Rattus norvegicus: one gene and its partner. The protein of the gene in region 2 purifies or fractionates together with the protein of the main gene of each other region. This does not show direct contact. Links are inferred from orthologs where the notes say so. Each region holds a gene or a part of one and is shown on either strand. Other genes may lie near its edges.

The links.
Region 1: the proteins of Rnd3 (region 2) and Plekhg5 purify together in Homo sapiens (affinity purification with western blotting; 3 studies listed by BioGRID and IntAct, with this or other methods). This does not show direct contact. The link is inferred for Rattus norvegicus from reciprocal best matches to the Homo sapiens genes RND3 and PLEKHG5.

The regions. Positions count from the first base shown.
Region 1 is NC_086023.1:167,873,516-167,878,040, reverse strand, and holds the start of Plekhg5 (pleckstrin homology domain-containing family G member 5), read right to left. Parts: upstream 2,870-4,525; 5' UTR 2,803-2,869; coding exon 2,799-2,802; intron 2,715-2,798; exon of another isoform or gene 2,552-2,714; intron 2,101-2,551; coding exon 2,024-2,100; intron 1-2,023. UniProt on the Homo sapiens protein: Functions as a guanine exchange factor (GEF) for RAB26 and thus regulates autophagy of synaptic vesicles in axon terminal of motoneurons. Involved in the control of neuronal cell differentiation.
Region 2 is NC_086021.1:55,984,987-55,988,794, reverse strand, and holds part of Rnd3 (rho-related GTP-binding protein RhoE), read left to right. Parts: intron 1-1,979; coding exon 1,980-2,089; intron 2,090-3,808. UniProt on the Homo sapiens protein: Binds GTP but lacks intrinsic GTPase activity and is resistant to Rho-specific GTPase-activating proteins.

The DNA of each region.
Region 1 (4,525 bases), on a different chromosome or scaffold from region 2:
GGTTAAGAGCGCTGGCTGCTCCTCCAGAGGTCCTGAGTTCAATTCCCAGCAACCACATGGTGGCTCACAACCATCTGTAACGGGATCCGATGCCCTCTTCTGGTGTGTCTGAAGACAGCTACAGTGTATGCATATTAAAAAAACCCTCAGGGCAACTGAGAGAGGTGCAGTGGCTGCTCAGGGCCACACAACTGCAAAGAAGTGGGCACGACCCTGGAACTCAACAGTGTGAGCCACGGGTCTCCAAGGCGTCTGGTCCTGACAGAGAATTAGGTAGAGTGCTCCTGATGAAGCTCATCCTTCCGGTTCAACCTTCCCCGGCTGACTCCTCCCATCTCACAGCCCACACCCCTTCCCTGCTCACTCTGTTCTCCGGCCTTCAGAAAGTCCATCACGACAACCACGACAACCCCGACACTCGTGGAGTCCAGAGACAGACCACGGGGTGAGGCAGATCTCACAAGTCCTAGCCCCCCAGGGAGCCCTCACAGAATCAGGTGCAGCCCTGTGGGCAGATGGCCTTGGCTTGCTAACAGTTCTAGATTAAGGACATGCCTTCTACTCAGAGAGTCTCGCCCTGTGGGGGTTTCTTTGTCCAGGGCACCTCACATATCACCACAGTGAGAAGCGAAAGCATCAGGACCGACCTCTGTCACTCCTTCTCACCAAACTGTTACTTGTTCCTCTTCTCCCATGACTACAGTGGAGCTGAGCTGAGTCCCATGCAGACCAGAGGGCCAGCAGCTCATCAGGGACCAGCCCTCTCCTCATGCCACAAGACCTGTCCACAGCAGCTTGGGGCCCTGTCCCAGCCCCCGGGGAGGCCCTGGGAGGGATGGGACAATGTCTCATTCCTCTGTCACCCCTTTAGGTCAGACAGATGCTTCAGTTTCCCAGCAGATGTGTTGAGGGAGCTGGGGCCAGCCTGCTTGCCAATCTGGGGGAGAGGCAGCCAGCCAACACCAGAGCCCAACGCCAGGCACCACCGGAGCCAGCAGATTGTATCTGACATCACAGCCGCCCCCTTGCCTGGTGACCACGGCAACTGGAGGCCGCCCCCTCCTCTTCCCACCCCCAGAACAGTCCTCATGTTCCTTCTGACCATGGGCCTCCTGTGCCGGATGAATGGTGGGGAGGCGGCATTTTAAATCTCCCGCAGCTGGCAGGGCCAAGGTGCGTGGAAGTCAGGAACATGGGATCCTGGCTTTGCAGATCTGAATCCTAGGTTCGGATCCCCTGTCCACCACTTGCCAGTCAAGAGCCACTAGGTCAAACCATCTCTCCAGAGCCTCACCTGTGAGTGGCAAGGAGCTTGGGACCCCTCCCAGAAGGGAGGAGCAAGCTGATACCTCCTTGGAGATGACCATTGTCACACAAATGTGAGCTGGGAGGCTCTTAGGAACCGTGGGGCCTTGTCCAAGTCACAGGACCTCTCTGAACTTTGGTATCTTTCTCTGCAAGGCAGGGTGACAACACCTCCCCCGCTGCCACGGCCGTGGGTAAGGCACAGAAAGCGTGTGGCACAGAGCCCAGCCCGTCACAGGCAGAAGTGCCCAAGTGATATTTTTTGCTGTTACAGCTTCCCCTGACTCCATTCTCTTTGATTTATCCCGACTCCTCAGACTCTAAGACCAACTGCCCCTTCCCTCTTCCCCTTCGTCAACTCCATAGACACAGCTTCACTCAAGCCCCACAGTATCCCAGAACTATGCCCAGGACTAGTGGCCAGGTACCAAACCAAACCGTGGGACCCTTCCCTCCTTAACCCTCTGCTTCCTCACCTGTGAGGCTGGGCTGTGGCTCCCACCCACATCCTCAGGCAGTGGCAAGGACCCCCATGGGGCTGTTCCTTGTTTTGAAATGTCTCCCGCTCCACTACCCCTGACCCATGAACACCCTCTCCTCCTAAACCAGTCCTCCTGAATCCAGAGGACATTACTTCGTCCAGGTAAGGGCTCCACAGCATCCTGGGTAATGAGAACTTACCCATGCCCCCATGCCCCAAGCTATCCAGCCCCCCTACCTTGGCAGCCCGGCCTTTGTCCATGCAGGCTGGGTTCTGGCAGCGCAGTCCCTTCTCCTCTGCAGGGCTCTGGTCTTCTGTGGAGAAGCAGAGGGCATCAGTTTGGGGATGGGGGTAGCACCCACACTCCCCTGGGCCCTTGTGTCCTCCAGGCCAGGGGACCCGTGGGGCGGACTCCTCACTCCTGCCTTCAAAGGAAGTCAGTGTCCTTTTCTCTTTTAAACGCCAACTTATCTGAAGGGGGATCTGTTTGCAGAGCCCTTTTCTGTGCAGTTCCCCAGGGAAATTGTCCAGATTCCAGGGGGGAGTCTTTGGAAATCGGCTACTCCCTCCGTCCCACTAGCAGGAGGGTGACTTGGTAACCTCCCGGGGCCCCAGACTTTCTAAGCAATCCGGGCCAGGAGGAGGGGGACTCCGAGGGTCCAAGATGCCCTTTCTAACCCTGTTCTCTCTCCAACTCGGACCCTCTGGTGCCAGACATTCCCTTCCCTGGGCCTGGGGCGACCTCTGTCCCCTTCTATCTCTGACCGTGAGTTTGGCCCCCTCCAAGCTGATGCCCTTTCTTTCAGGAGGCTTGAGCGCCGCAGCGAGGGGGCAGGGGCGAGGACCCGGCAGCTGCAGCTAGTCCTGGGTGCAGAGGCCGGCATCCACCCGGCTCCAGCAAGGCCCTCCCCGGGGCAGGCCCGGCCCCCACTGCGCGCGACGCCCTCCGAGCCCCCGGGACTGCCAGTCAGCCTGCGAGGGGGGAGCAGACCGTCCGCGGGACCGCACTCACCCATGGCGCCGAGCCGTGGGGGAACCGAGCGCGGGAGCCGAGGACCGAGCGCGGGAGCGGGGGAACCGAGCGCCGGGGCGCCTGGCGCGCGAGGCGGGGCGGGGCAGGTGGGCGGGGGGCGGAGCGCAGGGCGGCCGCGGGGGGCGGGGAGCAGGCGGCCCCCGACGGCGCCTCCCCGAGAGACGGGGCGTGTCCCAGGTGGGTCCCACCCAGCTGGGTTCCCCGCCCCCCGCCCCCCCAGGCCCTTCTGGTGATGGCCACGCGCGCCGGTGCACCCCGGTTCCAGGCGGTCTCCTGCACGGTAGCCACGCCGCCGCGGCTGCCGCCCCGGCCGGAAGTGCCTCCAAAGAGCAGGCGCCTCCCGCACCCAGACACGCGGGTCGGCGGCACCCGCACCCCTCCGCTCCGTGCCGCGCCCCCACTCGTTCGGAATGGCTGCCACCCGCGGATCCAGGGTTGAGGACGCGGCAGAGGTGGGAGGACCAGGGGCGGGTGGCCTCATTGAACGGCTGCTGCTGTAGTTGTTAGTGTTCCCAGCTCGGCGCACGCACCAAACTTAACTTTCGCAAAATTACCAGCCCCGCACCCAGAGACCCTCTAGCCCAGCCCACGAGGTTCCACTGAGTTTCCTCAGGAGAACCACTGTCCTGGCTAAAAGGCTTTGAGGAATTTCCCCTAATTGTTTATTGAAATAGGATTATCAATAGAGAGACAGCTTTTTTTTCTTCTTTTTAAAAAGTATATCCGTGTTCTGCCTGTTTATATTCTGTGTGTGTAGGTGTCAGATCCCTTAGAACTGGAGTTACGGTTACAAGCTGCCACACGGGTACTGGGAATTGAACCCAGGTCCTTTGGAAGAATAGCCTGTGCACTTAGCCGCGGAACCATCTTTCCAGCCCCAGGGGAGCCATTTTATCATTGCTGATTTGTTTTTTGTTGTTTTTGAGTCAGGATCTCACTGTGTAGCCCTGGCTAACCTTGAACTCACAGAGATCCACCCATCTCCACCTTGAGAGTGCTGCGATTTAAAGGCATGCAACCCCCACAACCCCCCATGGACAGCGATTTTCAACCCTCTTGCAAGAGGTCATAAAGATGGCTGAGGATAAGGGCTTTTGCTGAATCCAAACCCAAGCTGCAAGGGGAAGTCTGTCTTCTTTTTTTTTTTTTTTTAGATTTATTTATTATGTATAAGTACACTGTAGCTGTCTTCAGACACACCAGAGGAGGGCATCAGACCCCGTTACAGATGGTTGTGAGCCACCATGTGATTGCTGGGATTTGAACCCAGAACCTCTGGAAGAGCAGTCAGTGCTCTTAATCACTGGGCCATCTCTCCAGACTGTCTTCTAACATGCATGTTTTGACATATCTGCATGTACATGCTACACACACACACACACACTAAAATTAATAATTGGGGCTGGAGAGATGGTTCAATGGTAAAACGCACTGTCTATTCTTAGGACCCTAGTTCAGTTCCTCGCACTCACATGGTGGATCACAACCATCTATAACTCCAGTTCCAGGGGATGTGGTGGTCTCTTAGGGCGCCAGGCATACATGTGGTGTTCAAATATACAGGCAAACACACACAAAATAAAAATTGAAAGAAAAAAGAACCAAACCAAACAAACAAAGTAAAATTCTCAGCAAGGTGAGCCAGACTCCACCAAGGAACTTGAGGCTCCTGAGTCAGCCTACAGACCCTGTTTGTCCACTGGTGC
Region 2 (3,808 bases):
TCTCAAAAAAACTTCAGCTGAACTCTAAGTGTTCCCCTTAAAGAGTTACTCTCACCTCTGATATCTTCAAGTGGCTGAAAGGGTGGCCATTGATTGTCATTTTTAGAAACACAATACATATTTTTTTATACATTTCAGCTAAGGCCTTGGCCCTTTGGAAGTACCTTCCATCTGTCTAGGCTTTGTTATCACACTCCCCACCTCCTGTAGGCCAGTGGGAGGCTGTTGTGCTGGCAGAGAACTCTGTAGCCTTTCTTCCCTGCTGACACTTTCCTTCCTGGTTCCTAGAACATGCCCCATCATCCTTGCTCCAAACACTCACTCTCCATCTCTAAAGCAGGAGTGAGGCAGACACAGTGCTGCCAGGGACTGCAGTGGTGAGTGCCCAGAACCCAGAACACACACCTAACTACCATAACTTCTAGGTAGAGAGAACAGGCTCTTGGAGGCCATCTATCTGTCTTTGTCTGAAGGCCATCTCTCTGTCTTTGTCTGGAGGTCATTGTACTTTTTCTTTGAAACGTGGTCTCACAAAGTTGCTCAATGGAGAAAGGGTATAGAAATACTAGTGTACTCATATGTAGAGTTAAACAATTTGATTCTCAAACTGCATTCTCTGTACAGCTCAGGTAGGCCTCAAAATTGCAATCCTTTTGCCTCATTCCTTCACTGGACCTGACTAAAACTATTTCTTTGGAAATCAATCTCCCCCACCCCCTCTGACTTGGACCACTAAAGTTTTGACTTGGGGAATAAATGTTATATTTTTCTGCCAGAAATTCAAAATGATGTCAAAACTAAGTCAAAAGTCAAAAAACTCTTCAGTGTGTTTGCATTTGCCTAGTAAATGATTTTCTTGCTGTCTATGAAATGGCTTTATGATGAAATTGTTCCTTAAAAGTAGTTGTCAAGTTATCGTCAATGTTTTATAGTCTATTTTATAATTATTGTCCTTGTATAAATTCCCAACATTGGGAATTCATAAAGATGTTTTAAAAAAAAAAGAAAGAGAGAAAGAAGAAAAAAATCGTAAATGTCCAGAAAGTTCTGTGGTTCCAATGTTTGACTGTCAATTTGAACTTTTAGACTACATTGAGTTTAACTCAGGCCAGGGCCCTTGGATGATGTCCTGCTGTCATGTTTGCAGGCAGAACTGTGTAGAAAGGTAACATGATCTAACATGGCATTTATGACATTCTTGGTATAGCAAGAAGCAGACTTACACAGGCCTGGGGGGCAGGTGTAAGCAAACCCGAAGGTCAGTGGCTTATCCAGACTTGTAACTGGGGATGGAGTGACACTTGTGTGCTTCTCTCTGACTTCCTGTGTGCCATTAAGCTCTCCCTCCTCCCTCCCCCACTCACACCCCCTATTCAACTATTGGACTAATCTTGAGTTTAGATCTTTTTCCCAGGAAGCCCTCTCTTTCCAGTGGCTGCCGCCACTCGGCCTTTGACCACAGCGATAACAGAGCCACGATACTTCTAGTTAATATGTACTCATCTCTTCCTTAATTCCAGCTGCTACCTGGGTTTACTTAGATCCCACGAATATAGGTTGGCACTGTATTCCCCTTATGATTGAAGAATCAGAAGCACCTAATCCTAAGACTTGGGCTTCTCCCCGTTTAGTGGTGAAAATGGGTTTGTCCTCAAGGTCACTTGATCCCACATACTCCCCACTTTATCTAGGACCCTTCTGCCTCTGATTCTTAAACTCTACCAGTTGCACATTAAATTCCTGGCCCTCCCAGGAGCTGAGGTCCCATGCACAGGAGTTCTCTGATCTTCTAGAACAAGAATATATTATTAACCTGTTGTTTGTGGATGTGTTCACATTTCCTTACAGGAAGGAGTGTGTGTGGGGGGTGGGGTGGGGTTTACATTGTAACAGGGAAGGGATTTATCTCAAAGGGTAGAGATAGTGCCTCAAAGACGGTGGAGATTTCTGTCTGAGACCTGTGTGCTTTTGTTTCTTAGGTTCCCCTTACTATGACAACGTCCGTCCCCTCTCTTACCCAGATTCTGATGCTGTGCTCATTTGCTTTGACATCAGTAGACCAGAAACTCTGGACAGTGTCTTAAAGAAGGTAAGTGCTAAGGAACGAGGATGTCATTTAGCACTTTCGACCATATAGGATTAGAGATGGGCGATTGGCTAGGGGGTACAAAGATTCTGAATGAACTAAAAGACTGGAAAGGACACTTCCACACCAAAACATTGATGCCGTTAGTGGCTAATTAATCTGCTTAAGTCCCTAAAACTAAACAAAATACTTTTCATGATCTTTCGTGTTTGTTTTTGGGAGAAAATGGAGTGAAAATGTAGGAAATAGCTTAACTCTTACCTGACCCTTCATTCCTTTGCTTGACAGACTAGACTCCTCCTTATGTGTTTGCCTTTGATCTCAACTCAGATATTCACCTTAATACAATAAGAGCTATTTTGACAAGGGAGTTGTAGTTTAGTTATTTTTAGAAACATGAGTGAAATTAGCATAAGAGGGATATATGTGGTGGGGCTCATCCCTACAAATGCAGCAATGTGAATTACAATCAGATATGTACTAATCAAATACTAATAAGGCATCAGTTATGCCGCCAACCATGCCTTTTATCACACAGCCCTGGTTACTGGAGGCAAAGGTGGGTCAGATTCTATGGGTGCAGATGGGACTAGAAGAAGCTGTGACAGAGGAAGCATCTTAGTCACTCACTTTGCTGGGTGCTGTTAGTTTGAGGTTGAGACAGTAGCTGTACTACACCTTCCTTTCTGTGCACTGCACTTGTGGCTAAGAGCACAGAATATCACTCAGTGGTTGTCCCTGTGGCTCTGTCCATGTGGGGGCAGAGCTGAAAGGAAGCGCACCTATGTAGAAGTCCAGGCTTGGTCCATTTGGGCTGTGTTCTTTTGGTTTCTACTTTCAGTGGCATTTGCATTTTATGTGTTCTTATTAGTTGATTTTTCCTTTAGGGTACTTAGTTGCTTGGGTAGTTCCTTATAAATAAATTTAAGGTTTGAGGCATAGCCCTCCTTCAGTTTTTGCTAAAAATTGCAAGCAGTTCAATGAAATTGAACTCTTGGTAGATCAAAGGGTCCTTCTTAGTTTGTAACACCTTTCTGTTCTAAGTAATGTATGAAACACAGGGTTGACTTTTTGTCAGATTCTGTCTGGAAGACAGACAGCTTTTCCTGCTCTTAAGGCTATAAACAAGTAGAGGGAGGCCCACAACATCACAAGCTGAGAACAGAACAACATGCCTGTCTATGTGTGGAGAGAAAAGGAGCACTTATTTCCTGATGCTTGTACTTGATGTAGTGGGTTATACATAATTTATGACAGAAAGCTTTTCTATTCTTCTACTTTGATTTTGCCTACTAACACCAAACAAATAGTGCCATTGGCCCTGTAGATAGTAATGAATGTGTTTGACATTTGTATGAGCTGCAAGCTTACGGTAACTTACTTTATCTGTGTTTTGTCTTACGGATATTAGAGACTTAAAGTAGAGAAAAAACTAAGTCTTTCAATTCTTTAGGAGAACGTGCTAGATGCCTCTAAATAATTGTGAAAGGGAGGTGGAAAGGAAAGGCTCAGTGGACAGATCAGGCACTCGGTGTGTTACTGCCCTCCATATGCTGGAGCACTTCGTGACTAGATATCATTGACTCACCTACACCTTGAGGTCTGGAGCTGTCCTCTGGTAGTCTCTTAAATCACTCTTTAGGAATGTCCCTCTTCCCTAGTATTACACTTACAAACATTTATTGCCTCTTCTGCTCTGTCAACTCCCAAAAGACGAAGCTA